4 linked regions of the Pelodiscus sinensis genome follow. The protein of the gene in region 3 interacts with the protein of the main gene of each other region in a pairwise test. Links are inferred from orthologs where the notes say so. Each region holds a gene or a part of one and is shown on either strand. Other genes may lie near its edges.

Region 1 (8,010 bases), on a different chromosome or scaffold from region 3:
CTCATGCGGAAGTTCTGGAGCCACTGATGGTCATCCCAACACCTCATGACAGTGCGGTCCCACCAGTTGGGGCTGGTCTCCCTCTGCCAGAAGTGGCGGTCTACAGTGTGCAGGGGAGGATGGAGGGGAATTTGCTGCATGAGGAGCGCCAGGGCTTGGGTCAACAAGTCTCCCAGTCCAGGCTGGTCGTCATGTCCCTGCAGCACCACGTGGGCAATTTGCATGAACTGTGCCACAAGGCACAACATGAGGCCCCAGAGCCCGGCTCTGCTTTGCAGCAGCTCTAGCTCCATGAAAGTGCTGTGGCATCCACAAGGGGAACTAGAGCACATAGCGTAAGGTCCCTTAAGTGGTCAGTGGAGAAATGGAGTGTGAGATGTGGCCATAGAGTGGAGCCCCTGAAAGCACTCACTGTACCTTTCCTAACCATGCAGCCCACCCTCCTGGTGCCTTCCCCAGAGTGCTCCCCCCTGGGGGCTTTAAGTCTGAGGCAGGCTCCAATCAGTGTGGATGCACTATTTCAAAATAATACTTAGTAATTTTGATGCTCCCCTGTAGGGGGGGACATGCTATTTTGAAATACTTATTTCAAGAGTTATTTCAAAATAATTTCCCAGTGCAGACATGCCCTAATTACAAAGTTAAATGGGTTTTGTTCCTATGTCTGAGTGAAGACTCCTGGTGTAATGAACCTTGAGGCAACGTCTACACTGGCACCCTTTTCCGGAAATGCTTAAAAGAGAACAGTTTTCCGTTATAAGTATTTCCGGAAAAAGCGCATCTACATTGGCAGGATGCTTTTCCAAAAGGGCTTATTTTCTGGAAAATCGCGTCTAGACTGGCGCTTTTCTCCAGCAAAAACCCCGAGCCGGAAAAAAGCGGCAGCCATGTAAATGCAAATGCCGCGGGGGATATTTAAATCCCCCGCGGATTTGCAATTCCGAAGTGTCTCATTAGCATCCCTTTTCCGGAAAAGGATGCCAGTGTAGACACAGCCCCTGGGTAGTGTAGACATACCCCTTGAGAGTAAAGAAGCATCTCTGTATTGTCTGACATCACTGCAAGTTCTACTGACAAATGCACTTAAGTATTTTGCAACTACAGGGGAAATATCCAGATTACCTTCTGTTGCGGACTGAAGGGGATCAAAGTAAACTCATGAGTCTGTAGCAACACACTATTGCAAATAACATTTGTGCACAGAAGTTTGTTTTTATTTGTGAAGTGTCAAATGTTTCACTTAGTGCTCACCTAAAACCTCAAGCTGTCTGTGTCAACAAGCAGGCAAGGTTATGTACCTTTACCCCAAAAAATTCAACCAGCCATTAGTTTTGTTTACTTAAGTACCATGCTATTGCAACACTCTAAACAAGACACAGCTAAACACACAGTGATGTTGAGTAAAAAAGCTGCAGATTGTCAGACAAAATTATACATTTAAACTTGCCCTTTCTGTCACTTAATATAATTAGCAAAATTAAGAAAATGGTATTTGGTTGCAACTCCACTAGGCTGCATTTGAACAAAATTCCTCAAGGTTTCATTTTGTTTCTTGCACAAAATTTGTATGTGTAAACATCTGCCCTCTAGTGGAATAAAATTTGTTGAAACCTTTCAGAGAAATCATTCTCAAGTCTATGTTAGGCTATTCAGATCAAAAGTTGTAAAGTTTACAACACAGGTCATGTGCATCACGCCATGTATAATATGGTATCAGGAAAGTATTTGCTATGTCATCCCTCTTGTTTTCCCTGTCTGGAACAAGACTCAGTTGACAGATACACAGTTGAGCTTTATTGATCGTGTGGGAATTTACGTATTTGCACAACATTGTACAAAAAGTGGGCTCAGTATAAAGGCTGGGATGTGGCGGCAGAGGAGTTTGGTGAATTTTCCAAAGCTGTAGTCAGAAACCTAGATGGGATGTTCCTAGTGCATTGCATTATTCTGCTAGTTTTTCCTCCATTTATGCTTGTTCATTAGACTCCAGAATCTGCTCTTGACACTAGATTGTTTCTTTGGAAATCTTATGTAAGTGCCAAGCATTGTTTTTTTCAGAAATATTTAACATTAACTTGCAAAAAGAAATTGGGTTTTGCTCCCAATGATGTACAAAGTAAATGTTTTATTAATTTAAAAAATGGAAGAATACGAACAAGGAACTGGAGAGAGAACTAGAAATTCAGATATCCTCTACCCTGGAAGTCTCACGTGACTGCAGGCTAGTAAAATTTACCTCACTAAAGAGTGAAAGCTGAGCAACTGGGGATGGAAGTTTTAGATAGACACATTTTTGCTGTGGCCTAAGAATTCAGTTATGTCATGTTGGTCACCAATATCCTAGAACATGTGAATTTTGCCATTTATATGGACCATGTTGCCATCATTAGCTGGCTTTGATGTAGTTGTTTCAAAAAGGTGACTCATAGTATGTAATTTTGTCATCGTATTTTTTAACATCAGTGTGTCATGACTATACAATTGTATTGACAAAACCATATGCACACTGATTCTCTATTATTATGCCGACCGTATTTCTTGATTTCAAACATTCTGTCCCATTCTCCCCATAAACCATCGAAATGTCCCAGAATTTCAAATATTTTGGCAAATATTTTGGAAGGGCTGGGGAGAGAGCCTCGAGACTCCCCACTGGATCCGGCTTGTGGGGAAGAAGCACAGCTAGTAGCGGCTCCATGTGCTGCCACTTTCCCTCCCCTTCCCAGGGGAACAGGAACGCATCCCACTGCTCCGGAATCTGGCCCATAACAGCAGCGGGAGATGGGGCATGGTGTTAGTAGCCCCTCGTGCCCAGACCCCGCAACCCCAGCCCGCTTGCTGGTCGCTTTCCTGGAGACCCCACTCCCCTAGCCTGTGCAGACCCTGGGCCCCCAGGCTGCTCACTCTCCACCCACACCCTGGGCCCCCAGCCTGCTCACTCTCCACCCACACCCTGTGCCCCCAGCCTGCTCACTCTCCACCCACACCCTGGGCCCCCAGCCTGCTCACTCTCCTCCCACACCCTGGGCCCCCAGCCTGCTCACTCTCCTCCCACACCCTGGGCCCCCAGCCTGCTCACTCTCCTCCCACACCCTGGGCCCCCAGCCTGCTCACTCTCCTCCCACACCCTGGGCCCCCAGCCTGCTCACTCTCCACCCACACCCTGGGCCCCCAGCCTGCTCACTCTCCACCCACACCCTGTGCCCCCAGCCTGCTCACTCTCCACCCACACCCTGTGCCCCCAGCCTGCTCACTCTCCACCCCACACCCTGTGCCCCCAGCCTGCTCACTCTCCACCCCACACCCTGTGCCCCCAGCCTGCTCACTCTCCTCCCACACCCTGTGCCCCCAGCCTGCTCACTCTCCACCCCACACCCTGTGCCCCCAGCCTGCTCACTCTCCTCCCACACCCTGTGCCCCCAGCCTGCTCACTCTCCACCCACACCCTGGGCCCCCAGCCTGCTCACTCTCCACCCACACCCTGTGCCCCCAGCCTGCTCACTCTCCTCCCACACCCTGTGCCCCCAGCCTGCTCACTCTCCACCCCACACCCTGTGCCCCCAGCCTGCTCACTCTCCTCCCACACCCTGTGCCCCCAGCCTGCTCACTCTCCTCCCACACCCTGTGCCCCCAGCCTGCTCACTCTCCTCCCACACCCTGGGCCCCCAGCCTGCTCACTCTCCACCCACACCCTGGGCCCCCAGCCTGCTCACTCTCCTCCCACACCCTGGGCCCCCAGCCTGCTCACTCTCCACCCCACACCCTGTGCCCCCAGCCTGCTCACTCTCCACCCACACCCTGTGCCCCCAGCCTGCTCACTCTCCTCCCACACCCTGGGCCCCCAGCCTGCTCACTCTCCACCCCACACCCTGTGCCCCCAGCCTGCTCACTCTCCACCCACACCCTGTGCCCCCAGCCTGCTCACTCTCCTCCCACACCCTGGGCCCCCAGCCTGCTCACTCTCCACCCCACACCCTGGGCCCCCAGCCTGCTCACTCTCCACCCCACACCCTGGGCCCCCAGCCTGCTCACTCTCCACCCCACACCCTGGGCCCCCAGCCTGCTCACTCTCCTCCCACACCCTGGGCCCCCAGCCTGCTCACTCTCCACCCCACACCCTGGGCCCCCAGCCTGCTCACTCTCCACCCCACACCCTGGGCCCCCAGCCTGCTCACTCTCCTCCCACACCCTGGGCCCCCAGCCTGCTCACTCTCCTCCCACACCCTGGGCCCCCAGCCTGCTCACTCTCCTCCCACACCCTGGGCCCCCAGCCTGCTCACTCTCCACCCCACACCCTGTGCCCCCAGCCTGCTCACTCTCCTCCCACACCCTGGGCCCCCAGCCTGCTCACTCTCCACCCCACACCCTGGGCCCCCAGCCTGCTCACTCTCCTCCCACACCCTGGGCCCCCAGCCTGCTCACTCTCCACCCCACACCCTGGGCCCCCAGCCTGCTCACTCTCCTCCCACACCCTGGGCCCCCAGCCTGCTCACTCTCCACCCCACATCCTGTGCCCCCAGCCTGCTCACTCTCCACCCCACATCCTGTGCCCCCAGCCTGCTCACTCTCCACCCCACACCCTGGGCCCCCAGCCTGCTCACTCTCCACCCCACACCCTGTGCCCCCAGCCTGCTCACAAATCAGAAAAAAAAATCCTGTGTCAGATCACGTGTCCTGATTTTTGGTTTGGAAAGTAGGGTCACTCTGTGCCCTGGTCCTGCGCTCACAGGGGGCACCGCTTGGCTTTGTTAAGATGGGAGGTGGCTGCAGGTGAGCTCACAATTCACCTCTGCTCAGCCCCTCCAGCGCAGCCAGGCTGCACGCCCCGCCTCGTGCTACAGTGAATAGGAAGAGGCCACGTTCCAGTCAGAGGGGAGCAAACGCAGCTGAACAAGTCCCACCAGAGCCATCTACCCCCCCCCCCCCCCATCATCTCTTGGCCCCGCCCAGCGCTGCGTGACGCCACCGCGAAGCTGCGCTGCGGGCACTGGCCCGCCCAGGCTGCCGTCTCGCTCGGTGGGCGGGGCTGACGGAAGCCGGCCCGGGCAGAAGGGCCTGTGTGTAGCAGGCAGCGGCGGGGCCTGGCCCGTGTCTCTCCGCCCGCCCTCCCCGCATCCATGGCGGCGGCGATGATGGCGGAGCAGGAGGCCGCCAAGGGCGGCGGCGGGCGGAACCGGGGTGGGGTGCAGCGGGTGGAAGGGAAGCTCCGCGCCAGCGTGGAGAAGGGCGAATACTACGAGGCGCACCAGATGTACCGGACTCTCTTCTTCAGGTACAGCCCGGCCACCCTTCCCTCTGGCCCCTTCCAGAGCCTTCCGAGCGCGCACACTAGCCTGCTGCCTGCGCGCCCGGCCCGTGCGATTGGCCGCGCGGCTTGTCCGTCTCATGCGTTCGCCCGCTGATTGGACGAGAACGGGGAGGCGCTCGCCGTGCAGGGCAGCGTGAAGTGCGTAGGGGGGGAGGCGGCTTGCAGGGGAAGGGGGTAGAATTCTCTCTACGCGCCCCCCCCCCAGGTGTCCGGCCTTCCCCCCCCCTTCGAGAGCGCCGAGGGGAGCTGCAGAGGCAGAGCGAAGGGGGCGGGGCCGGGGGCTCTTGGCGGGGGGGGGGGTTAGTGAGGGGGGGGCCTCCCCAAAGACAGATGTTAATAGGGGGAGGCCGGCGTCTGTTGCCTTGGGACTCCCTGGCCAGCAGGTCTGGAGACTGGCCCCCCGTTTTGTCACCCACACGGGGCCGCGGCCACCCGCGGAGGCTGGGGGCTGGGAGCTGACGATCGGGGTCGCGCTCCACCCCAGAGCGAGTGGCCTGGGAGGGGAGGCAGCGGACGTAAGATCACGGTTTAAAGGTTAACAGGCCAGGGGCTGTTCCCCCCCCCCCCCCCCACCCACCCCGGCCAGGCTGCAGTGGACCCCCGCCTGCAGCATGGTGGCCCCGGCCGAGCTGGAGCAGCCGGTTAAGGGGTTACCCTGGTAAACATGCTAGGAAGGCTGCTTAGCAGGTGATCAGTTAACTCCGTACATCCCTTCTTGCCTAGCTCTTCACCACCAGTCAGATGTGGCATCATGGGGGCTGGATGCCTTGTGGAAGGGCCCCCTACTCCCATGGGGCCCTCAATTTCTCCCATGTTTGTATTCTACTGCTGTGTTAGACTGTCATCTTGCACTTCTAGAGAGCCCCATGCAGTCTCAACAGAAATTGGGCCCAAAAGCAGATGCCTCATTTTCTCATTCTTTTCTGGCTGTTTAGCGTTGCATATAGGCTTGCCTTGGAGCAAGCAGGATTGGAGAAGATTCCTTGCTTATTTTTTCTACCCTGTTCCCCACTGCACCTTCGTATGCCAATTTGCTCCAGCAACTTGGCATCCTAAGGCCAGTCCTATCGGAAGGGGGTCTCCACTCTTTCTTTAACCAATAGAAAGAGAGGTGATGTTGCACCTTTTCTATTAAGCAGCAGAGGGGTAGCCGTGTTAGTCTGAATCTGCAAAAGCGGCGAGGAGTCCTGTGGCACCTTATAGACTAACTGAAGTGTAGGAGCATAAGCTTTCCTGGGCAAAGACCCACTTCGTCAGATGCACCTGATGAAGTGAGTCTTTGCCCACGAAAGCTTATGCTCCTACACTTCAGTTAGTCTATAAGGTGCCACAGGACTCCTCGCCACTTTTCTATTAAGAAAATCATAAATGGATGTTACATTATCCCTCTTCCACCTTGTCAGTTTCTTCCATTCCTTTCAGGGATACTTAAAGTTAAAAGGATGAGGTTATATTTTCAGAAGGATTAAAGAATGTGAGTCCATGAGGAGTAGTTTCTTGTCAGATTTCAGAGAGGTAGTTGAATTAGTTTGTTTCAGTAAAAACAACAAAATCTGGTGACACCTTAAAGACTAACCAATTTATTAGGATATTGGAGCATATGCTTTTGTAAGCTATAACTCATTTCCTCAGATGCAGAAGAGAAAGACAGGAAAAAAGTTATTTCAAGGTTAACTATATTAAAACAAGCTGCTGAAGGACTTAATTGACATTTGTAAAGGACTTTGACATCCCCAGATAGAAGAATAGTAGGACAGAGTGTTTATTATTATTGTGATTGAATTAGTAGTTCTTCAATAAACCTCATGCTAGATAAAGAAGTTAGCATCTGGTAGTTACAGATATTCTTAGTAGCTGTAAACTTTTTTTGTGTCCTTTGCTCCAAAATGTTCTCCTTTTCAATCATATTATTGATATGTACAGTGTGCAGATTTAGTCAAATCTGCTTTTTAGGGCTGTCATAAAATTACAACTTGAATTTAAGAAACAAAAAAAAACTTTGATCAAATGTTTCATTAAAGTACACTCAAATCTTCCATTTGAAGAGTAAGAATTTAAAATGTGCCTTAAAATGCATCTGTAGTGAGAGAGTCTCTCTATACAGATCTGCTTTTAATCTCTAATCAGATGTAATTCTAGTTTGTGGGTGTCTGGATTCTTGTGACATTGATGGATTATCAAGCAGAACTTGATTTGAGGACTCTTTAAAATATATTGATATCTCACCATGTTTAGTGAACTTAGGAATTTTTTGGTTAAAGTGGACACCTCCACATTTTGTGTCTATTGGGATGCAAAAAGTTAATTGTGAGCATGACCCTAATGGGTGGTGCTTATTAGTTCCAGTTAACTGGTGGGTGCTGGAGCAGCTCCTGATCCTTTGGTCAGGCTGGAGCAGCCCCTCCTGCCCATTCTCATTAAACAGTTAACCTATTAAACAGGGTTTTACGTTCCAATTGCCTACTAATGAGTAACATAACAGGTCTGCTTTATGGTGCAGTACTTGTACTATATTACTACTTTAAGTACATGGCAGTTATAATATTGAATTGTCATCTACTGTGTAAAACTTTATTTTTAAACTCTTTTTTGCATTTAATATTAGTTTGTGAAGGAGTCTAGATACATCCCTACTGAGACGTAAGTGACTAGTCACTATCCAATAAGCAAAAGCTTATCAGATAGTCAACTAGTCCCACAAC
Region 2 (7,555 bases), on a different chromosome or scaffold from region 3:
ATGGGTGTGTGATAGCATCTATGCTATTTAATATCTTTCTGGTGGCCATGCTCCAGGTTATTGAAGATGAGCTCCAAGGCAGAGTTGAAATAACCTAGAGAGTGGATGATAGCCTCTTCAATTTGGGCTATGTCAGAGCCAAGACCAAGACCACAACGTCAATGGTACAACTTCAGTATGTTGACAACACCAAGGGTGAGTGCCACCTCGGGAGATGGTCTCCAAGCAATCACTGACATTTTCATCCGAACCTACCACAGGGTGGGATTGACTCTCAAAGACCAAGGTTCTCTTTCAGCCAACACCCCTCAGACCCTTACCAGAACCAACCATCATGGCGGACGACCAAGTGCTGGAGAATGTCAGCAGCTTCCCCTATCTCAGAAGCTATGTGTCTAGCAATGCTGACATTGATGATGAAATCCGCCACTGAATCGCCAGTGCCAGGGTGACTTATGGACATTTATGGAGGCGAGTCTTTGATGACTGTGACATCAAGACGCAGACCAAGATCGTCATCTACAAAGCCATAATCATCCCAACTTTGTTATATGAAAACATCATATAGATGTCATATTAAAGATCAGGAGAAATTCAACCAACGGTACCTGAGAATATTGGCAGGACAGATGAACCAATGTTACTGTCCTCACAGAGGCTGATTCTTGCAGCATCAAGTCAATAATCACCCACAGGCAGCTATGATGGTCTGGTCATGTGGTCAAAATGCTTGACACACATTTGCCTAAAAAGATTTTCTACACTCAGCTGAGGATCAGGATGAGGTCTCATGGCAGGCAGAAGAATCTCTATAGAGACATCTTTAGGAACACCTTGGTAAATTATGACATTGATGCTGACACCTGAGAGAAGCAGGTGGAGGATCCGGTAACTTGGAGGACCACCATCAAGAATGGTGCCTGACACGCTGAGATCAGGCGTCATCTCCATGAAGATCGGAGAGCCCAACATAAGGAGCATGCTCCAGCCCACATTGGCGCTGCTGGTGTTGGCACCACTGGAGATAGAGACCTCTCGTGCAGCTGTAAACCACACACCTAGTGGGTGTGGTTTAACGTTCCATGTAATGGCACTTAGACCACTTACAGCAAGAGATAAAAACAAGTGAGCTCTACAAACTAAGCTGCAAGCCAGCTGGCTTTATATCTCAAGCTGTAGAGACTCCTATGCGGATATCTTAGGTTTGAATCTACCTGGTGGCATTTACACAGCCACTGTCAGAGAGTGTTTCTTGCCAGAATTGGTCTAATTTCTCATCTTTGCACTCACCGAGAAATCTTACCTGATTCAAAGGATTCCAGAGAGAGAGAGAGAGGCTCCCATAGTGCAGGTACTCCCATATTTCCAGCTAACACAGCTCTGCATTGTGAACAAAGGTGAAAGTAAGCCGGTGCACTAGTAAGAAAGTGGCTGGTTGGGGGTGCCTCAGCCCTGAGCCTCCCATCCTGCACACACTCATTCCAGCCACCTACTCTGACTTCTACCCCATACGCCTCCAGCCACCTGCCCTGAGCCCCTCACGCAAACATGTCTAGTGCCATGCCCTGACCCTCTCAGACACACATTTCCATCCCCATCCCCTGATTGTGGGGTATATACTCACTATGCATTGTTCACAATGCCAATGATGGTGCCTCCAATGTGGACATGATCTGTGGACAGAGGGAGCAAGTGTGAATCTGTCGATTTTTATTTTGTTGACTTCTGGGTGTTTACATAAGTTTTGTGGCAACAAAACTTGGTAGTGTAGACTACTACCCTAAGGTGCATAGGCACTCAGTCTCCTAGCCTGAGGGGAAATTTGAGAACCTCATTAAAAGACTCCCTCTGCCTGAGAAGGGGAGAGAATGGACAGAACAATGAAGAGAGCTCTCCCATCCTGGTCCCAGGCACAGAGCAACAGCAGCCCTGCCAGGGGAATTCACATTTCTCACAGCTCAGAGCCTAGGGGAAGGAGAAGCTACTGATCCGGCTCCTCCAGAAAAGCCCCATCAGCCAAAGCAACTTTTTGATCAGCTCACAGCTAAGGGTTTCAGGTTTCTTCAGTGACAGCAGGGAGCAGCAGTTCCTGAGTTTCCTACCACAGCTGAAAAATGGAGGAGTAGCTGAAGGGCTCCTGCTCCTTCAGCCCTGGAAAGAGACCACTTTTGCCAATACAGTAGTGGGAGACAGGCTGCAAAAGATCTCATGTGCTGGCTCCCTGCACAGCAGCTGTTCACTGACTACACACTATAGCTGATTGGCTGGACACAACTAATCCTGCTGCTCAGGGGAAAGACTGAGGGAGCCCAGCAGGCACATGAGTGGATTTGTGGCTGTCATAGCTGATTATCCCGGTGGATGCTGAGCAGCCATTTTTCTTCCTGTTAGCCCAGCTGACAGAATTGGCACCAATGTAATCAGAAAAATGTGATGTAAGGGCTAGCACTGAACTGAAATTCAGGAGTTCTATTCCAAGCTCGGTTACTGGCCTATCGTGACCTTAGGCAAATCAGACCTCTGTCAGTTTCCCTATTTGTAAAATGAGGATATTGATGCTTTGAGATTTACTGAAGAAAATTTCTGTATAATTTATTATATACTAACATTGTGCAACTGGATAGATATCCAACCTTTTCTTCTTTTAAATTAGAAATTACACATTATTTTCTATGCACATAATGTTGGATAACTGTCACAGTAATTATATTGCTTGTGCATAACTACACTTTTCTTGGGGTGCATGTCTCCCCAGGCACACTTGTATTATTTGTAAGGAAGTTCATGAAAGCCAGTAAGTCAATGTAAGCAAAACCCTACCTATGCATCTTTGCAACTGGAGCCAGCAAGCATATTTGCACCTCCTACCATAGACTCCATGGGTTCTATGGGGCTGGAGCACCCCTGGGGAAAAATTGGCCAGTGCTCAGTACCTGCTGGCAGCCTTGCTCCTGCCTTCTGTCTCTTCCTTTCATCTATAGTAACCCACCCAGTGGCTCTGCTGACCAACTCTTCCACCTCCTTCCTACCTGCCAGAACACAGCGGCTGCTGCAGTGGGACAGATGCTTAGGAAGGGTGCAATGGGGGCAGGACATAGTTGGAGAAGAGGTGCTATTTTAGAGGAAGGGATGAAGTGGGGGCAGGGCTGGAAAGGAATGGTTGATTACCCCCAAATTACAGGTGGAGCCAGTCCCTATGCTAGTTTCCCACCATTTTCCTTCCCCATATTCCTATTTACATTGCCAGTGGCTGAGCCCCCTGCTTGCCCCACCCAGGTTATAGCCTAGAACTACAAACAAGGCCCCTACGCAGGAATTTCTGTGGGGGTGGGAGTGCTTTTTTTTGTAAACGTGGAACACAAAGGTGTGAATGCACCACCACACTCCCCCAAGTAAGCAGAGAAATCAGCCCCAGCCTTCTCCAGACCTGCCAGAGCATGGGGAGGGAGGATCTAGCAGCACGCTGCTCCTACCTTGCTCCTGCCTTCCTCTAACTGGCTGGAGCATGCTTACTTGGTGGACCATGGGGGCTGCTTTTGCAATCTTTCAATCCCCCCTCCCGCCGTACTGGCCTGCAACACATACAATGATTCTGCCTCAGCCTATGCACATTGCCCTTGACTCCATGCCGCCTGTGGAGTTGAGGCTATTCAGTCAGGCTTGGGGGGCAGTTACATGGGCAAAAGCAAAATGTAAGGCTGCGTCTACACTGGCACGATCTTGTGCCAAAGCGGCTACTCTTGCGCAAAAACTTGCTGCCTATCTACACTGGCCATGTGTTCTTGCGCAAGTAAATCGACGTTCTCATGTATAAAATCAGGCCTTCTTGCGCAAGAACTATCATGCTCCCGCTAAGGAATAAGCTCTCTTGCGCAAGAGCTCTTCCAGAAGAGGCCAGTGTAGACAGGCAACATGAATTTCTGTGGTTAAAATGGCCATCAGAGCTTTCTTGTGCAAGAGAGCATCTACACTGGCATGGATGCTCTTACACAAACGCACATGCCAGTGTAGATGCTCTTTTCTGGAAGAGTTTTTGCACAAGAAGCTGCCAGTGTAGATGTAGCCCTGCAGGTCCTTTACCAAAGTTAGGTTGAGGTAAGGTGTCTTGCCTGGGTCGTGCCCTGCCGCGTACACCTCCCGTGGGTGCACAGCAGCATTAGCCAATTGCAATAGCTCCTGTGTCACCAACACAAGCGTCCTTACCCCAGCTAACTGAGCACCCCTGGGACTGGTTACTAGAGGTAGGGAAACTGAGGCACGGCGGCTCACTCAGCAACGCAGCTGAAGCCTGGCTACCCCACACTCGGCCAAGCCGCCCCGCCCACGGGCGCCCCTCGCTCAGGGGCAGCGCGCGCCGCTCCTGCTGGGTTGGAAGCTGAATCCTCGCGAGAGCGCTCCCATGTTGCCACGTTCCAAGCGCCCGGTTTCGGCACGGAGAAAGAAGCGCAACGCATCCCACCCAATCCTTTTGTCCGTACCAATAGAACGCACACGATGCCCCGCCCCCTTCCGGCGAGAGCGCTGCGATTGGTGGAGGTGGCTCTCAATCGGCTTCCGAAGGGGGTGGGTCCTTTGGCCTCAGCCCCGCCGCTCACGTAGGGTCGGTTGGGCGGGTAGCGGCTCCTCCCCTCGCGAGCGCGCGCAGTCCCCTCCGCTACCTGACAGACGGTGACATGGCTCCGCGCAAGAGCTCCAAAGGCACCGGTGGCGGCAGCAGCCCCAGTCAGGGGCCCAGGAGAGGTCAGTGCCGCCCGCCCGGCCGCGGCAGCCCCGCCCCGTGTCCCGCGCCGGGGCTGGGCTTGAGCAGCAGGCTGTGGGGGCAGAGCCGCGGGACGGGGCGGCTCCTGGGAGCGCAGGCGGGGTGCGCCGGGCAAGGGGATGCCGCTCCCCGAGTGCCCGGCGGCGGGGGCCCGTCGAGCCTGCAGCAGCCTCGGCCCCTGGTGCCCCGCGGGGAGTGGGCGGGGCGGGGATGTTGGGGCCCCGCGGGACTGTGGGCGCCGCTCGCTGCGTTTTCGAAGTTGCCGCTCTCTTGAGTGTCTGGCTCCGGTGGCCGGGCCTCGCTGCACGCTGGGCTCGTGCGGGAGTCCCGGGGGGCAGGAGGTGAAAGCGGCGGGTGGGTGCGGGAAAGCGCCGGCGGGGTTTGTGCGCGTGTATCTGCCTCCCTCTGACTGCCTGGTCACCTTCAGCCTCCTCCATGTGTTTACGTGTCAGCTCAGCGCTTGGAGGGAAGGGAGGTCGGAACAGATGGTTTAAATCTGTTACTCAGATTTCATTTATTCCCCTTTTTGCTCGAGTTTGAAGTGGAGGAGAAGCTTAGCGTGTAGCTGAGCAAACAGAGGAATTCCTCATTGCAGAGGATTAATCATGAGTAGAGCTGCATGTATTACTAGGTGTGCTTAGCCCAGTAATTTTAAACTTAGAAGTCTTAGACAATCAAGTCTAGGAGTGTCTTAAATTCCTGAATAAAAAGCAGGCTGCTTTTTGCAAAGAACTTTACAGTGAGCGTTGCAGTGAGTGAAAAAGTGCACTTTGGCATATTTTTAAAATAAGACTGCTTTTAGTGACTTGATACCACCATGTATAAAATACTGATGTCAAAATATTCTTTTGTTACCGTAACTGTCAAGTTTTTATCTCTAGTAATCTGAAGGCTTTTTAATTAGCTGTAAATTAGAAAGTGCAGATATAAAGGAAGATTTATTTTCAGAAAGTAAGACATGAGCAACTTGAAACTGGGTTAACAAAACTAACAATAGAATTAATAATTTTTTACAGTAAACTCACATAAAACAAAGTAAACTTCTGGGAGGAAAATACATGTCAGGTGAAAGTATATTAATGCCTTTCTGGTAGTTATATAACTGTACAGGTTGTAAAGAGCTGATCTCGTTAGCTTTACGGTGAGCACGCTTTGTGCCTATACATTGTTAGCTCTGTGGACTTCTAATTTTTCAGTTTTATTTATCACTACTAGCATAGATACAAGGTTGATCACGTGATCTCAGCCATGTGCATAGTACTAGTAGAACTTACAGTGCTCTATCAGAGGTTTATACATATGGCATTGTACTTATTGATCATTTTGATAATTGAGTACAGTGGTTTCAAATGACTCTAAAGAAACAATGTGGTTGAGGTAATATCTTTTATTGGGCCAACTTTTGTTGGTGAGACAAGTTTTACAGTTATACAGTGTTTAATTAGGTTAACAGCTGGTATGCCCCTTAAATTTCTCTTGAACAATTGATCTGGGAATTATGGGTGTTTATTATAATAATCATACAGCAACAGGAAAGAGCTTATTTCAGTTTTAAATTCTGTAAAATGCGTCTTTTGAAAAACAAGACATTAAAAATGCATCCTGTATAGAATCTGGGCTACTATAGAGAACTCCAATACACCTTCCAAATTTGTTTTAACATTTCAAGTTAAAAAAGCCTGAAACTCTTGATCATATTTACCTATGATGAGTAAGAACTTTTCCCAAATATTTATTAGGGATGTTAAAATGCATTTATTTAGGTAAATGTTTACCTGCTGAAAATTTCAGCAGATACACATTTACACATGGGGGGAGGGAGGGGAGTTGGGCAGCTCCCTAGGAGCTGGTGTGCGAAAGACAGCTCCCTGTGCATACTGGCTCCCACGGAGCCACATCTTCCCCACACGCTGCTGCCTCTGCATCTGATACAGTGTGGGGGGAGGAGGCTACATGTAACCGTTTACACATTCATATCCTTAATCATGTGTGCAGTTGACCTCTGTAAAATCTGTCCTTTTATTTTAAAAAAGACTTGGCCCGTATGCTTACATAGGATCCCCTTCAGTTGTGAATGGTGGAAACTAGTGTTTCCATATTTTATTTGGCCAAGGAACTCTTTTAAAATTTAAAGAATTTTGTAGAACCCCTAATAACAGTCTAATATAGGCTGCTAAAAAATAGACCACAAATTAGCATTTGTTTATTATTATACTTACTTAACAAGGTCATGAGATCAACCTTTAATTTAATTGCACATATTTAAAAACAAAAATCACATATTATTTTTTAAAATCATAAAACGTTATTGTAATGGAATTTTCTCGCGGAACCCTTATTTTCACTTCGTGGAACCCAGAAACACCATTTGGGAAACACTGGTGTAAACAGAAGTAAGGAAGGGGTGTCTGCATAAGGCTAGGTTCATAGTAGACCCAGAAGGTTGGCTTACGGTAAGTCAATGGGGAAGTTTCTTCCATAGACTCCATGGTAACTTGAATTAAAGTCTCCAGCAATGTTATTCATGTAGTTGGAGTTGTGTACTTTAGATCTACTTTCTGTAATATTGTAGGCATAGGCTAAGAGCTCTTCACTCCAGCTCCCAGAAAAGAGAGATGTGATGAAGTGGGGAAATAAGTTTTACATTTGCAACATGAGGGTGTCGAAGACGGAGTCCTCTGATTTGTGTGCATCACCTAAGAAAGATTCCAGGTATCCTTTTTTCTCAGAAACTAATGAGGAAAGACTTGTCTTCACACCTATGCATGGCCAGGGACGCTGGAGTCAATGAAGTCA
Region 3 (7,826 bases):
TATTTTATGCGATGATGTACACAGAGATTACACGCATTCAGTGATTAGCTAAGGAGGAAGACCAACAGTTTGCATAAGAATCATTCTCTCCGAAAGTCATTCCAGCCAGTCAGACTTGGGGAAACCCTGCTCTTCTTCTCGCTTGCAGAAGTCGGAATCCAACAGTTCACAGGACATTCAACCAAGGCAGCATCCTATGAAATCCCTGCTTCCTCCTACCCCAAAAAGGAGATCCTAGCTCCTGTTCCAGCCAGGCTGCAATAACACTGCAAGCCTTGAGTGACAGCCCAACATACGCGACAGCCTGGAGGCAGGGCTCTATAGTGTGCGCACTTGGGGCTTCACACCCGACTAATACTCAGAAAAATAAAGGGCAGAAAAACTCTCCTCCACAGCCTTCCCACTTGGGTTTTCATTCGCTAAAATCCCTGTCAATCCTGAGCTACAGCAAGCTGAGGGAAAAGGGGATTTTACTTCTCTGTCCATACAGCTAGTCAATCTGCAGACCACTCTTGCACTAGGTAGCTCCATATAAGGAAGATGAGATTTGTGCCTCTATCAGCCAGGTCTAGTTTTCTGAGACCTACTGTGCTGTGTTCTGACACCCACAGGCCTGCCCGTAACATCCCAAAATAGCGTTTAGTACCAGGAAATGTACAAAATTCATCCCATGGCTGTTTCCTAAAGGGCAGTTCAACAGCTCTCACTAGCACTCAACACACAAGGAACAGAAAACTACCATACCAAAGCCTGCCCCGCACGCCACAGAGCAGGCAGTTTGGCCTCGGTTAAAGCCCGATTCAGCAAGCTACCCCGGCACATGAATAACTTTTTGCATATGAACAGTCTCATTCCAGGATAAAATTAAGATCGTGGTGAAATGAGGGCTAGGCTATGCATTAAGCAGGCACCAAGATGGCCAGCAATACTACTGATTAGTCACGGTATTTTGATGCAGATATTCTACTGGGCAAAGGACACTGTGGGTGAACAGCGCTGGCAGGGAAAAAGGGGACCATTAATGACTCTGGAGGCCAATTCCAAACGCAGCTCAGTGCAGTTGAGGCTCTGCAACTGAAAACATCTGCAAACACCGCTGCAGTTTTCATCCACACCTATCATCACTTGCACACCCAGCAACAGAGACAACTGAGGAAGACAATGGTTATTCTTTAGCATTATTTCATCTCTCATATCCACTCCTGACAACAGTTTCTGACCTTTGCTATAGAAGGTAGCATACTTCAAACTCTTGTGGGGCCAAGGCCTACGGTGTATTTAGCCTCATCATGGTTTGATAAGTGACCTAGATATTGCAACAGAGGGACAGGGGATTTGTTTTAGCATCTTTGCAATCTACAGAAGTTCCAGCTAACAAGTTCCCAAGCACAACAGGAGCACATCACTAATAACGGTTATGGACCCACACTATTCAGTGCAAACTGGGATGCAGATAAGTCCCCCTTAATTGGCTACTCTTCAGAGTCAAGTGTTTAGTTGTAAAAGATCCAGGGGATTAAAAAAAAATCAGCGCGACTTCTCTGAGATAATTCCACCCACGCGCCAGGAAGTGAAAATGCCATTGCTGGAATGAGTTTCTTCTGAGACTCGTCCAGAGTCTTTATTCTGTAACTACCACACAGGTCAGCGATAGCTCATAGCACAGTGGTCCCCAACACGGTGCCCGCGGGCGCCATGGCGCCCGCGGGGGCATTTGTGTGCACCCGACAAGTGCTCGGGGCTGGCTTGGCCCCAGACACGTGGCGCATGCGCTGTGCCAGAGCCAGCCTCGGGCGCATGGTGAGCGCCGGCCCCGGGTGCACAGATACAGGCAGGTGGGGGCGCCAGCCCCGGGCGCGCGGTGAAGTGGCCACCCACGCTCCGGGCGTGCAGCTATGGGAGGGAGGGGGACACCAGCCCCAGATGCGTGGCTATGGGGGGGGGGGCGCGCACTGGCCCTGGGAACGCGGCGAAGTGGCCGCCCGTGCTCCAGGCGTGCGGCCCATGGGAAGCGCGGCCCCCTGGTGTGCAGCTATGGGGGGGAGGGGCGCCGTCCCTGGGCACATGGCGAAGCGGCCGTCCATGCTCCAGGTGCGCGGTGCATGGGGAGCACCAGTCCCCTGGTGCACGGCTATGGGGGTGCACAGGCCCCAGGCACGTGGCTCATGGGGGTGCAGCATATGCGTAGCCCCGCCCCCTGGTGCACAGGTGTCCCTGCCCTCTGGTACCCAGCAGGCGAACGGCCACGCCCCCTGGCTCCCGGCAACGTCAAATGGTTGGGGACCACTGTCATAGCATTTGGGGGCCCATTACCACTTCATTCTCTCTCAAAATCTGTGAAGCAAGGGTAAGGGACTTGCCCAATGCCACAGGTTTGGCAGCAGAGCTGAGATTAGAACTCAGGAGCTCCTGGCTCCCAGTAGGGATGTGAAAGGCTAACTGGCAAGCATCACCCTATAAACAGGAGGTGCTTGCTGGATCTGATTAACCAATAACTGATGGAGGCTGCTCCAGCGGAGGCTGCGAGCAGACAGCAGCCCCAGCCCTCGCGTGGGGGCTGGAAATTGGCAGCACCAGCACAGATTTGGGAGCTGCTCCAGCCAGGCTGGAGATGTCACTAGCCCAGATCCCACTTTAGTCAGTTAACTGAACATTTAACCAGTAACTGATAAACCAGGATTTTGCATCCTTAGTTCCCAGCCCCACCCTGACAAACCTGCCACATGAAATTCCACAGCAGTGACTGCTGTACACAAAGCTCTAACTGCTTCAAGCTCAATTAGCTTTCAAGGCAGTGAGGACCAATTATTACAAGGGGCAACTATCCAAGAATGAGGTTTTGCCCTGAATGTCTAAAGGGGGTGATCTATTGGTCAGAGCATGGGCTGAAACACTGTATTGAGGGGGGGGTCATGCCTAATCCAACTCTGCTACTCGCCCAAGAGCATTTTATTCAGCTTGCAGCATCTCTTCTGTTTCCTTAGCTCAAAATCATAGATAATACTTATCTCTAAAGAGTGCTCAGAATCAGTTACTTAGCACAACAGCGCTCTTAACCATCCTTAATCGTTACAAAGCCATCGGATAAGGGGGCAGACTTGATGAAGTACAAGCTCTAGCAAGGACTTCATTCCTGAACTGGCACACAGAGCACACACCAGGATTAGCCATTCAAGAAACTGTTTGAGAACTCCAGCAATTGACATTTTCCCTGTTGGTCCTGGCTCATGAGCCTGGCCAATTGGTTGAAACGAATTCATGAAGCTGCACAAGTGGGGGGTGGAAAAGGAGAACCTCTGAACAGCATCCGCAGCTTCTCACGACATTCTAGAGACAAATCAGGTGGGGTAACCTACCACCAGGCACTGGAGGAAAGAAGAAATGCCAATGACAGGGAGAGGAAAAGGAGGAAAGACTTCTTCACGTAGGAGGGAGAAGCTGCCTTCAGAAAGGGGACTTGCCTCCTGGTGGGGGTAGAATTTTAGGCCACCCAGTGAGGGGAAGGTTATGGAAAGGGAACAAGGATGGAAAATATAGGTTTCTTCAGTTGCAGATGGTTCTAAAGCAACAGGGAATTGAGAGAGTGAGTGAGGGAATAGCACCCCACAAAAAGTACAGGGCAGGCCCCCAAAGGGAGAAGGAAAGGAAGGCTGCAGTCTCAGAAAATAAGGATGGGGAGGTGAGCAGAATAGGCGGCATATGGAGCAGATAAATATCCAGGGGAAGAGATGGGCGAGAGAAAGAAAAGAGGGGAATCTCCAGTGCTAGGGCAGGTGCCCCGGGATAGGGGTTTGAAGTGCACAGGTGTGATGAGGAGAGGGCAGGGAGGAGGAGAAAGGAGTCTGGGTGCGAGGTGCAAAGGGGAATGAGGAGCGGGGTGGAGATAGAACAGCGGGCGGGAGAGAAAGGGGATCGGGACAGTCACGTGCAGATGGGGGGGGCTGAGGTCCCACTCCCGGGGGAGGCGGGGGCGCCGAGACCCCTGGGGGAGCTGCAGTACGAGCGGCCCCCACTGATCCTTCGAGGGGGCGGGGCGGGAGGAGGAGCTCGGTCCGAGCGCGGCGCGGGGACGGGGGAGGGGGCCCCGGGTCCTTACGAAGCTGAGCGCGGTCCCGCTCCTCTTCTTCCCCTCCGGCGGCCGCTGCTCAGTCCCGGGGGCGCCCGGGGCCGCCCCGGCCGCAGGCTCCTCCCCGGGCCCCGCGGCCCCCGCCTCCTGCTCCCGCCCCCGCTGCTCCGCCTCCATCTTGCGCTTGAAGAGCTCCAGGAAGCTGCCGTCGTTGGCGAAGACGTTGACGCCGCCCGGGCCCTGCGGAGCCGCCGCCCGTCCCCCTCGGGCCGCCATCTTGTCCGCGGAGAGCGCCGCCGCGCCCCGGGGGGTGTCGGGAAAAGCCAGCGCCGGCCGCGGGGCACGACGGGAGCAGCCCCAGGGGGTGTCGGGAGGGCGAGCGCTGAGCCGCAGGAACTCCGGGCAGCCGCCGGCGCAAGGCACGCTGGGAGAGGAAGAGCGTTTCCCCGCGCGAGGCACGCTGGCCCCGATCGCGCTCTGAGGGACGGGCAGGCCGACGGACCAATCGGCGGCCAGAGCCTGAGCCTCGACTCCAATCAGGTCCCTTTGGGTGGACGTGAGGCGCTCTACGCCCCGGCGTCCCACCAACCAAAGAGCGCCCTTCTATGTAGCCCAATCACGTCAGGCGGATGTCGTAAGGACCAATCAGAACAGACGCAGGGGCGGGACTTATCAGGACTAGCTCAGAGTGGGCGGGGTTGTTGAAGACCCCAGTCATATGAGGGGGCGTGGTCGGGCTATACCATTGTTGTGGACTGGGGGACAGGACAGCGGCAGTGACGACTAGGATACAGCGGCCCAGCTCTGTTTTCTGTCGGCGCGTGCTCCTTCTGTGCGTCCTCCCTCTGCGAATGGTCTGGTCCCGGGCCGGGTCACGTGAGCCGGTTCCAAGATGGCGGCGGCGGCGGGGTCCGGTTGGGGGCCGGAGGCGGACGAGTTCGAGGACGCCCCCGATGTGGAACCGCTAGAGCCAACGCTGAGCAACATCATCGAGCAGCGGAGCCTCAAGTGGATCTTCGTGGGGGGGAAGGGAGGCGTGGGCAAGACCACCTGCAGGTGAGGGGGGGTGAGCGTGCGTGGCAGTGCCACGAAGGGGGAAGAAGGGGTGGTTGGGATGTACCATTCCTGTGGAGAGGGGGTGCCGAGCTCACCTGGAGAGGGTGGAACTTGGGATGTACCGTTATGCGTAGGGGAGAGGAGCCGTTGGGGGCGTGGCGAGGCCCCCGGAGGGCTTGAGGTTGTACCACTATGTGCGGGGATGGGGGAGTGGCTGGGCTGTACCATTGCTTTTTTGAGAGAGGGGTGAGGGTTGGGGCGCACCATTCCTACACCACTAGGGGTGTTGGATGTACCATCGTAGAGGTTGGGGTTGCCTGTAGGCGAAGGGCCACGAGAATGTACCATGTTAGTATATAAGGTGGATGATACCACTTGGAGGAGAGAAGGGTTGGGATGCACCATTTGGAGGAGAGGGGTGCGGGACTTGCTGCTAGTCTAGGGAGCAAGGGGTGAGAGGAAGAGGGGCTGGGCTGTACCAAATTGGACCTGCTATAAGCATTGGTGGGGCGAGGCCACCTGTATGAGATTGTACCAGATTGGGGGCGGGGGGGACAAATTGTGAAGACTGGGACATACCAAATGTACCAAAGAGCGGGTGGGGTGTTTGGTCTGTACCATTATGCTGGAAGGACTATAGATGAGCCTATGACTGGTAGGGGAGCTGGGATCTACCATTGCAGCTTGAGGGGCACAGGGAGTGTGATGCTGCCTCTAGGGGAGAGGTGAAAGCGCCTCCTGTCCTATGCCTCACCTCTCCAGCGATCCCAAACCCCGTGGATTTCCCGCCGCTAGTTCCCTTCTCGTGTCACCTGAATTGCCCCCCATGCAGCTGCAGCCTGGCCGTGCAGCTGTCAAAGGTGCGTGAGAGCGTCCTCATCATCTCCACCGATCCAGCCCACAACATCTCCGACGCCTTCGACCAGAAATTCTCCAAGGTCCCAACTAAAGTCAAGGGCTATGACAACCTGTTTGCCATGGTGAGCTTGGGCTGGGGAGAGAAGATGGGTTTCAAATGGCTCTGCTTGTTTGGCTGTATGCAGGGCTGGCACCGAGTCCCTAAGCATTTGGAGCCCTGCTTCCCAGTTGCCTGTGTTAACTTCTAGATTGAGCTTCTTCTTGGAACTGGAAAGAAAGAGGAAAAGTCCTGGCTCATTCTCCTTTGGTTCAGCCCTTAGTCCCCACTTCTCTTCCAGAGCTAAGAGTTAGACCTTTGGCATCCTGACTCCTCATCCCATCCCCCCTCCAATCTAACCACTAGATCCCACTCCCAAAGCAGGGAATAAAACCCAGGAGTCCTGGCTCCTAGTCCTCCCTGCTCTAACCACTAGATACCACTCCTCTTTTAGAGCAGAGAATAGAATCCAGAAGCCCTGGTTCCCAGTCCCTGTTCTAACACATTAGGCATTCAGAAATGTGTCCATCTCTTCTCAGTGTTCAAGACGAGAGCTGGTGCTGAGTGAATGAGTCGCCCATCCTTGGGATAATGATGGCCATTCTTCCCTAAATCCTTGCCCCCTTCTTCCTTGCCCAGGAGATCGACCCCAGCCTGGGAGTGGCGGAGCTCCCGGATGAGTTCTTTGAGGAGGACAACATGCTGAGCATGGGCAAGAAGATGATGCAGGAGGCCATGAGCGCTTTTCCCGGCATTGATGAGGCCATGAGCTATGCGGAAGTGATGAGGTGAGCTAGGCAGCCTGCTTCCAGGCCCATGCTACATGCCTGCGGCCATTGGGAAGCGTAGCTGACGTGGGGGTAGCCCTGATGAAAGGGTGACCAGGACAGGCCCCCTATCATAGGGGGAGGAGAGGTTTGGATTTACCAGTAGTGTGGCAGCGGGAGGAGAAGAGCAGACCACTTGTAGGGGACCAGGAGCTGGGCTTTATGGCCGTTATGGGGGGGAGGGATGTGCTATCAAGGGAAGGGATGAAACCACCTATAGCAGAGGATCGTTAGAATGTACCATGGCAACATGGCAGGTGGGAATGAAACCATCTGTAGGTGAAAAGGCTGTTTGCTATACAGGCTCGCATATTGCACTTGTCTCTGGTTCGAGGACCTTCCTGTAGTGCATTAAGCCAGTGGTTCCCAAACTTCTTTGCACCACAACCCCCTGCTGACAACACAAATTACTAAACGACCCCGAGGGGTGGGGGGGCAAAGCCTGAACCCACTGCCCTGGATAGGGGGCACAAAGCCATGGCCCACGTGCTTCAGGCCTCGGGCATTGGGGCTTGGGCATCAGGCCCCAGCAAGTCTAAGCCAGCCCTGGTGACCCCCTTAAAACAGGGTGGTGACGTGCTTTGGGGTCCCAGGCCACAGTTTGGGCACCATGGCGTTACGCGTGTAGCTGCACACCTGTCACTTGGGGAAGGAGACCATCAGCCCGGGGCTGGGATATGCCGTTATACTAATAAGCACTTTAGATCTGCAGGGTGGGTATGTCCCTCCTCCTCCCCCTGGCATTGCACTCGGGCCTGTGAGATCTGGGTTCAGCTGTCCACTGCCCGTGTAGCTGTTGGCAGGGTCAGAGGGATGACCTAACAGCCGGGGCATAAACTCAGACTTTATATATTTAGTTCCCAGCTCTGCCTGAGGTGTCGGCTGGGACTTGGCTAGTGACTGTGTTTGGTAGGGCCATGGTGGTCCAGCTATCCAGGGGACTAAGAGCATTTCCCTTGTCTGTCTCTTCTGTTTGCCCTGC
Region 4 (6,927 bases), on a different chromosome or scaffold from region 3:
CTGGTTGGTGCAGGGCTGGCAGGCTCCCTACCTGACTCCACACAACTCCCCAGAAGCAGCAACATGTTCCTCTGGCTCTGAGGTACAGAGGCAGCTGAGGGGATCCACACAATGCTCCCACCCAAAGCGCTGACTCTGCAACTTCCATTGGACACCAGTTACAGTCAATTGAAGCTCCAGTGGTGGAACTTGTTGGCAGAGGCAGCACACAGAGCTGCCTCATCACGCCTCTGCCTAGGAATCAAGGGACAAGTTGTAGCTTCCAGGGAGCCCACCGAGGTAGGAACTTCTCACCCCTTCTTACTACTCTGCCCCAGCTCTGAGCCCCCTCTCACATCCAAACTCTTTTCTGGAGGCTCTACCCCGCACTCCCTCCCCAGAGCCCTCACTCCCTCCTGAGGCTTCTCCTGCACCCAAACTCCCTTGCAGAGCCCGCTTCCTGCCCCACACCTTAACCCCTATCCCCAGCCCAGAGCCTCTTTTCATACCCTGAACCCCTAATTTCTGGCCCCCTCACCCAGAGCCCATTCCCCCTCTCACACAGCAACCTCTGACTCAGCCTGGAGCTGCCTCCCACACACTGAATGCCTTGGCTGCAGCTTCGCGCCCCCCCCCCCTTCCCCACACACACACACACGCAGAGTCCCCTCATCCTTGGCCCACTCCAGAGCCTGCATCCCAATGCCCTGCTCTAGCCTTGAGGCCCCACCCCAGAGCCTGCCCTCGCAACTGGAGCCCTCACACCCCCCCCCCCCCCCCCGTCCCAGCCTGATGAAAATGAGTGAGGGTGGGGGCAGTGAGTGACAGGCTGATAGAATGGTGTGAGTGGAGGGGGGCTTCAGAAAGGGTAGGGCGTTGGGGCAAGAGTGTTCATTTTGTGCGATTAGTAAATTGGCAATCCTATTTCCAGTAGGGGAACCCTACTTTGGTGGGCCTCTTGACAGCTGTCAAAACAGAGCTTTCCTCTTGTGAACCACCTCACTTTTTTTTAACATTAGCCCTAAAACTTTAAAAGAAGAAAAAAAAAAGAAATCAGGAAAGGTATTAACAAACATCTTTGCAGTAATATATAGATTCTAGGGAATATATTTTCATTTACATTAAGGCTGCTTTACACAACATTGGCAGTGTACTTGGTGAAATTAATTTACAAAATGTTCCTAAGTCCAGTTCAGTGGTCCCTGTAAACTGTGCACTTTTGTTACTGCTCAGGAGAGATTCAAATGCTTTCCAGTTGATTAGCAGAGTGGCCACAGCTATGTGTTTTTGTTTCTACTGATGGTGGACATTCACACATGTCTTGGTGCGTGTAAAAAAAATATTCTGCATATAGATAGATTAGAGGGAACTTTGGTCCAGTTCCTTCAAACAAGGATGGGAACAAATGGTGCACAGACAACTTCTTTTAACAGAAATCTCGTGTAAGGAGGCTATAAAGTAGGTGTCTAGCTCTGTCCCTTTCAAGGCTCTCCTGCCAAAGTCACTGCTTAACCCGTAGTATTTCCAGCCCCAGGCTCCTCCCATTTTTATCTGGAAAACCCTGCTAGTCTCAAGGCCCTAGAGACTGAACAAGTGGCTTGACCATTAATCCCTCCTTGGTGCAGCTGGTCTGCTAGGTCTGCCAACTTTCTACTTGCACAGAACCAAACACCCTGTCCTCCACTCATTTAATCTCCCCCTCCCTCCATTGCTTGCTCTCCCCCCGACCCTCACTCATTTTCACCAGGTTGGGGAGAGAATGGGCTGTGGGAGGGAGGGAGGACTCTGCCTATGACCAGAGATGAGGGGTTTGGGATACAGCAAGCGGTTCTGGGCTGGGAGAGGGGGTGCAGGTAGGTGAGGGCCCCAGTTGGGGATGTGGGCACTAGATAGGGTTCAGGGGAGAGAGCTCCAGGCTGGAGCAGAAGATTGGGGTGCAGTGGGAATGAGGACTCCAGCTAGGGGTGTGGTCTCAGGGGTGGGGCTGAGAATGAGAGGTTTGGAGTGCAGGAGGGGGCTCCAGGTGCTGGTGTGGGCTCTGGAAGGGAGTTTGGTTCTAGGAGAGAACTCTGGGCTGGGGCAGGGGGGTTGGCGTACAGGAGGGGTATCGGGGTCCTGGCAGTGCTTACTCACGACTCCCAATAAGTGGCTGCTAAGTCCTGCAGCCAATAGGCCAGGGGTGGGAATCTTTTTTTGGATTGGGGGGGCCCTGAGCCACAAAAAAATCATTTGGCAGAGGCACAAAAAAAACCCTCACTAACGTAGCCCCCGACTGAGAACGAGAAAGACACTCCCCACATTCGCCTCGCCCAGGCCAGTAGATTTTATGACCCCCCAAGGCATTTGGGTGAGGCTAAAAATGAGGGGTTCAATGTGTGGGAGGGGGCTGCCAGGGAGCCCCAAGCCTTAGGGGCTGGATCCAGTCAAGCCAGGGCTGCATCCAGCCCCTGGGCCTTAGGTTTCCCACCCCTACCTTACACGCAGAGTCTCTGTGCTGCCCTCTCACCCGCAGCTCCCATTGGTCACAGTTCCCAGCCATTGGGAGCTGCAGAGCCAGCACTTGGGGCAGAAGCAGCATGTAGAGCCTTGCTGAGTCTAGGGGCTACCTGGAGCCAGGGCAGGTAGGAAGCCTTCCTTAGCCCCAGGCACCCAGTGTAAAAGGACTTTTACTGGCCTGGTGAACATGCCAGAAACCAATCACCTGGCAACCCTATTCTCTGAAACACAGAACTCAAAGATGCCTGATGAAGGATGTTTTAACCTACATTATATCTTTATTTCAGGGTGTTGGTCCTGCATAGTATCATTAACTCTATGGGGAATTTTATCCTGACTGCATATTTATTAGTGTTCCTTAATGGGCAAGCCACTAGCATAAGTGATAAATATTAGGCAAGCTATTGGTATCCTTTGGCATAATATGTTACTTGATACACAGTAGCATTAAAATGCACATTTGTAAGGCCCATACTGGGCAAAAAAAAATCAAAATAATGTGATGGCTTAACTTCCTTGAAACCAGTGAAAAGTAGGACTATTGATGTGCATCTCCACCAAACAGTGAAGAGGAGTCATACTGCTACTAATGCTTAGTGTGACTATGTCCCAATTTGATCAGAGTATCAGAGGGGTAGCCGTGTTAGTCTGAATCTGCAAAAGCGACGAGGAGTCCTGTGGCACCTTATAGACTAACTGAAGTGTAGGAGCATAAGCTTATGCTCCTACACTTCAGTTAGTCTATAAGGTGCCACAGGACTCCTCGTTGCTTAATTTGATCAGAGACAGTCCCTTTGTTTAGCCATGCCCTGGCTGTTCTGACTTTTCTGGCCAAAGAAAGCATTTGTCCCTTTGCTCTTGCCAACTTGATCAATTGTCAAGAACAAGTGGGACAGATGCCCAAGTCTGTCAAAAAAGTGGGGTGCAGAGGAACATGGAGAGGGGCAGTGGTGACACCAGCCTTACGCGGGGGGGGGGGGGGGGGAGGAACGATTCAGGCAAGCAGTGATACTGACACCAATTCCAACTCTAGGGAGTGGGGGGCAAACAGGCTCAGCCTCTAGCTCCATGAGGAGAAAGGGAGCTCAAGTGAGCATCTCTGGCTTGCCCTGTGCAGGGGGCAGTCTTGGGCAAGCGGATGTGGGAGCAGAACATTGGGGGCGGGCGGGTAGGGCTTAGGCTAGCCCCTTGTGGGGTCCTGTTTTCCCTTTGGGAAATATGTCGCCCAGCTTGAGTTGAAAGAACCAGCACAGACGTATGCACCTACCACTGGCCATTATTATTACACCACCCGCTTGTTCATGAAGTGTTTTTATCCCTTAACATTCCTGGAAATTGGCTACTGAGCACGGGCATCGTGTGACACAGCGGCGCTAACCCATTTGAAAGCGCGAGTGTTGCAACCTCTTTTGCAACAGCTCTTTCTTTCCGGCAGTGCTGTGTGATTTGTGAAAGGGGTGTGTGCAGCACCAGGCTGTCTTGCAGCATGCTAGATCCTGAGGGCAGTGTGGAGCACAAGGCTTCCTCCTCCAAAGTTTTTCTCATCCCTCTAGCCATGTTCCTTGCCTTAGCAACGCTGCTTTTCTTAGCATTCGCCACCTCCCAGCAGAAAGAGACTGATTTTTATACATTTAAAGTGGTAAACATCAGGGGCAAGCTAGTCTCTCTGGAGAAATACAGAGGCTCGGTAAGTTTGCCGAAAGATTAGCAGCTGCTCTCATTGCTGAGTGTAACTAACCAGCCCATATTTGAATGCTTACATACGGGAGTGGGCAAGCAGCTTATTCATTAACTTGCATGCATGCATGGATAGACTCTCATTTGTGCATTTTGTTTAAGTCCTGCGGAATAGTGCTTGCATGTTTACTTTGATATCGTTATGGGTTTCTCCATTCTTTTAATAAAACGTTTGCAGTCTAACCCTTGTGTGTGTGTGTGAATCTGTTTCTTGGGCAGGCTGCTCTGTGTATACGTGGCACAGGGGGGCTGCTTGCCGTTCGTTCGTATATATTGGATTCTAATGTCTATTAACCATGAAAGCATTTGTCCAGGATAGGAAGCATGTGGTATTCTAAAGCAAAGGTCTGTATTGCAAGATATTTACTCTTTTGAAAGACTTATTTTTTGCTGAATCCTGTTTGAGGTAAAATGGAGAAAAGGGAATGGTATGTAATCAATATGTCAAGGAATGCACCATGATTACCAATAAACAAATCTGAGAAAATAAGTCATTGTAGATTAATATCATAATCTTCTTTAAAGCATAGACATTAATAGCAGCAGATCTGTTTTTAAATGAATTTAAATTTTACTTACATATTACTCAGGGAGTCTTAAATGAAACATTCTTCCCAAAAGATGTACTCATTTAATCAAGTTCTTGAAGTGTGATAAGGATATAGTGATAACGAAATTTCATAATTATGAGTATTCAAAAATTATATCATAACTTTGCATCCAACATAGTCAGCATTTGCATTTAGAAACTGCAAAGCAAATCAGGACTGGTTCTTCATGCTACAATGGTAGAGAAAAAAACATTCTAAACTTGGCTTATCAGTATTCTCCAGTCCAGCACAAGGCAGCTGGACTGTACCTGCAAATTTGGCCCTAAAAGTTAAAATTGTCAGGGAAGACCCAAGATTGATGTTCCACGTGTTTAACACATTAAATATGTCACAATAGTGTTTTCTTTGGGTTTCTTGTTTAGTGTTCATGTATGAAAATATTAATAAAATAAGAAAACAAGGACATTTCCAGACAAAACATGTTAAACTGGAGTAAAGGTTGAGAGTAAGTATTAGTAACTTAAGGGTGAAAAAAAATTAAAGAACACTGTAATTATTTTAAAAAATAAACAAATTAAAAGATCAGGAAATTCAGAGTTAAGTAAAACTTTTAAAAATAATCCAGTAGTGAGCCATCTAGTGGAAATGTACAGTCCTATTTTCATAGTACTTTTTAAATACATTTTTTATGAATGGAAGGGCCTCTTACGATTATCTGTATGGAAAAACTGTTGTCACGCTCCCGTGTCTATATCCTATATATTTCTCTCTTTTTTTCTTCATCTATTTTTTTTCTCTTCAGCATCTGCGGAAATGAGTTGTAGCTCACGAAAGCTTATACTCTAATAACCTAATAAATTTATTAGATTTTTTTTTAAATAAGGAGTCCGGTGGCACTTTAAAGTCTAAAAAATTGGTAAGGGTATAAGAGTATAAGCTTTTGTGAGCTACAACTCACTTCCTCAGATGCTGAAGAGAAAAAGACAAAAAAGGATATAATAGAGATGACTGACATAGGTGCTAATTAAATTAGAATGGATGTGGCTCATCTCCAACAGTAGTGAGAAGCTGAGAGTACCTGAATGAGAAATTACCTATTGTAACGCAAGAGCCGCCCGATGGAGTGGAATCACCGTCCTATCTCTGTTGTTTGTATCTTTTTTTCCCCCCTATTTTTCTTTCTTTTTCTCAGCGTGTGAGGAAATGAGTAGTAGCTCACAAAAGCTTATGCTCTAATACCCTAATACATTTGTTAGTCTTTGAAATGTCACCAGACTCCTTTTATTCTGAAACAGACTAACACAGCTACTTCTCTGAAACAGTCTTTAAAAGTGCCACTGGACTCCTTGTTTTTATGATAATCTAGTCTCTCATGCATAATACAAATTGTCAATTCAACCTAGTGATTATTGCTTTAGTGTAAGAATTGGTTGAATGAAAGCATATCTTTTTAATGATAGAAACTCTTGATTTAAAGACTCCTAACTATCAAAGAGCATGGTGCATTATTTATTAAACTGAACCAATGGTTAATTATCCTTGCAGTTATTTCCAGTTTTGATTTTTAATAGACTGTTGTTGCAGAGATAAAGCCTCGCACATCAGGATCAGCTGTAGATTGTTTTAAGCAAAGATTGTGTTCACTTAAGAACATTTTTGCATATTCCATTCAGTGTCATTGTACCATTTGTGTGTGATCCTTGTACTTTTGCTAATAGGAAAAAGAGCTGAAGTTGGGAAAAGAATTAAAATATCCAAGCTCAAAAGAGAAGCTCTTTGGTGGATTAAGATTGAATAGGGCCCAGATCCAGTCTGACCAAAGCCCTCAACCAACCCCACCGATTCAAACTATGCTTAACTGCTACATAGGCCTCACATTGGCCACCAAAGGAGAATTTTATCCACTGCACACACAGTTGTTTGTTTCCAGGAGCACACTCAACTTGCTAGATGCTATACAAATATAATACACTGATGTTTCTATGTAGTTTAATATATATGTATATGATAAGATGTAAATACATTTTCTATCCCAGATGTACATTTTATATATGGAATACCATCAGATTGTTATTACACGGTAGTTGGCTTTTTTTTAAGCTTGTTCCCATAATTTCTTCCACTGGGTCTGTCAAGAGTCTGTAAATGCTCTGAATGGAGTGTA

What was found.
Region 1: the proteins of GET3 (region 3) and GET4 interact in binary tests that used the Homo sapiens proteins (3 or more experiments, as listed by UniProt). The link is inferred for Pelodiscus sinensis from reciprocal best matches to the Homo sapiens genes GET3 and GET4.
Region 2: the proteins of GET3 (region 3) and ASPH interact in binary tests that used the Homo sapiens proteins (3 or more experiments, as listed by UniProt). The two-hybrid records come from large-scale screens. The link is inferred for Pelodiscus sinensis from reciprocal best matches to the Homo sapiens genes GET3 and ASPH.
Region 4: the proteins of GET3 (region 3) and GPX7 interact in binary tests that used the Homo sapiens proteins (3 or more experiments, as listed by UniProt). The two-hybrid records come from large-scale screens. The link is inferred for Pelodiscus sinensis from reciprocal best matches to the Homo sapiens genes GET3 and GPX7.

The regions. Positions count from the first base shown.
Region 1 is NC_134726.1:26,320,405-26,328,414, forward strand, and holds the start of GET4 (Golgi to ER traffic protein 4 homolog), read left to right. Parts: upstream 1-4,998; 5' UTR 4,999-5,117; coding exon 5,118-5,272; intron 5,273-5,957; exon of another isoform or gene 5,958-5,972; coding exon of another isoform or gene 5,973-5,995; intron 5,996-8,010. UniProt on the Homo sapiens protein: As part of a cytosolic protein quality control complex, the BAG6/BAT3 complex, maintains misfolded and hydrophobic patches-containing proteins in a soluble state and participates in their proper delivery to the endoplasmic reticulum or alternatively can promote their sorting to the proteasome where they undergo degradation.
Region 2 is NC_134712.1:61,042,747-61,050,301, forward strand, and holds the start of ASPH (aspartyl/asparaginyl beta-hydroxylase), read left to right. Parts: upstream 1-4,550; 5' UTR 4,551-4,673; coding exon 4,674-4,740; intron 4,741-7,555.
Region 3 is NC_134729.1:13,304,680-13,312,505, reverse strand, and holds the start of GET3 (ATPase GET3), read left to right. Parts: upstream 1-4,808; 5' UTR 4,809-4,958; coding exon 4,959-5,122; intron 5,123-5,954; coding exon 5,955-6,102; intron 6,103-6,656; coding exon 6,657-6,805; intron 6,806-7,826. Other genes in the region: telomerase RNA component interacting RNase, read right to left, coding at 4,097-4,342.
Region 4 is NC_134719.1:9,550,790-9,557,716, forward strand, and holds the start of GPX7 (glutathione peroxidase 7), read left to right. Parts: upstream 1-3,925; 5' UTR 3,926-3,961; coding exon 3,962-4,162; intron 4,163-6,927. UniProt on the Homo sapiens protein: It protects esophageal epithelia from hydrogen peroxide-induced oxidative stress. It suppresses acidic bile acid-induced reactive oxygen species (ROS) and protects against oxidative DNA damage and double-strand breaks.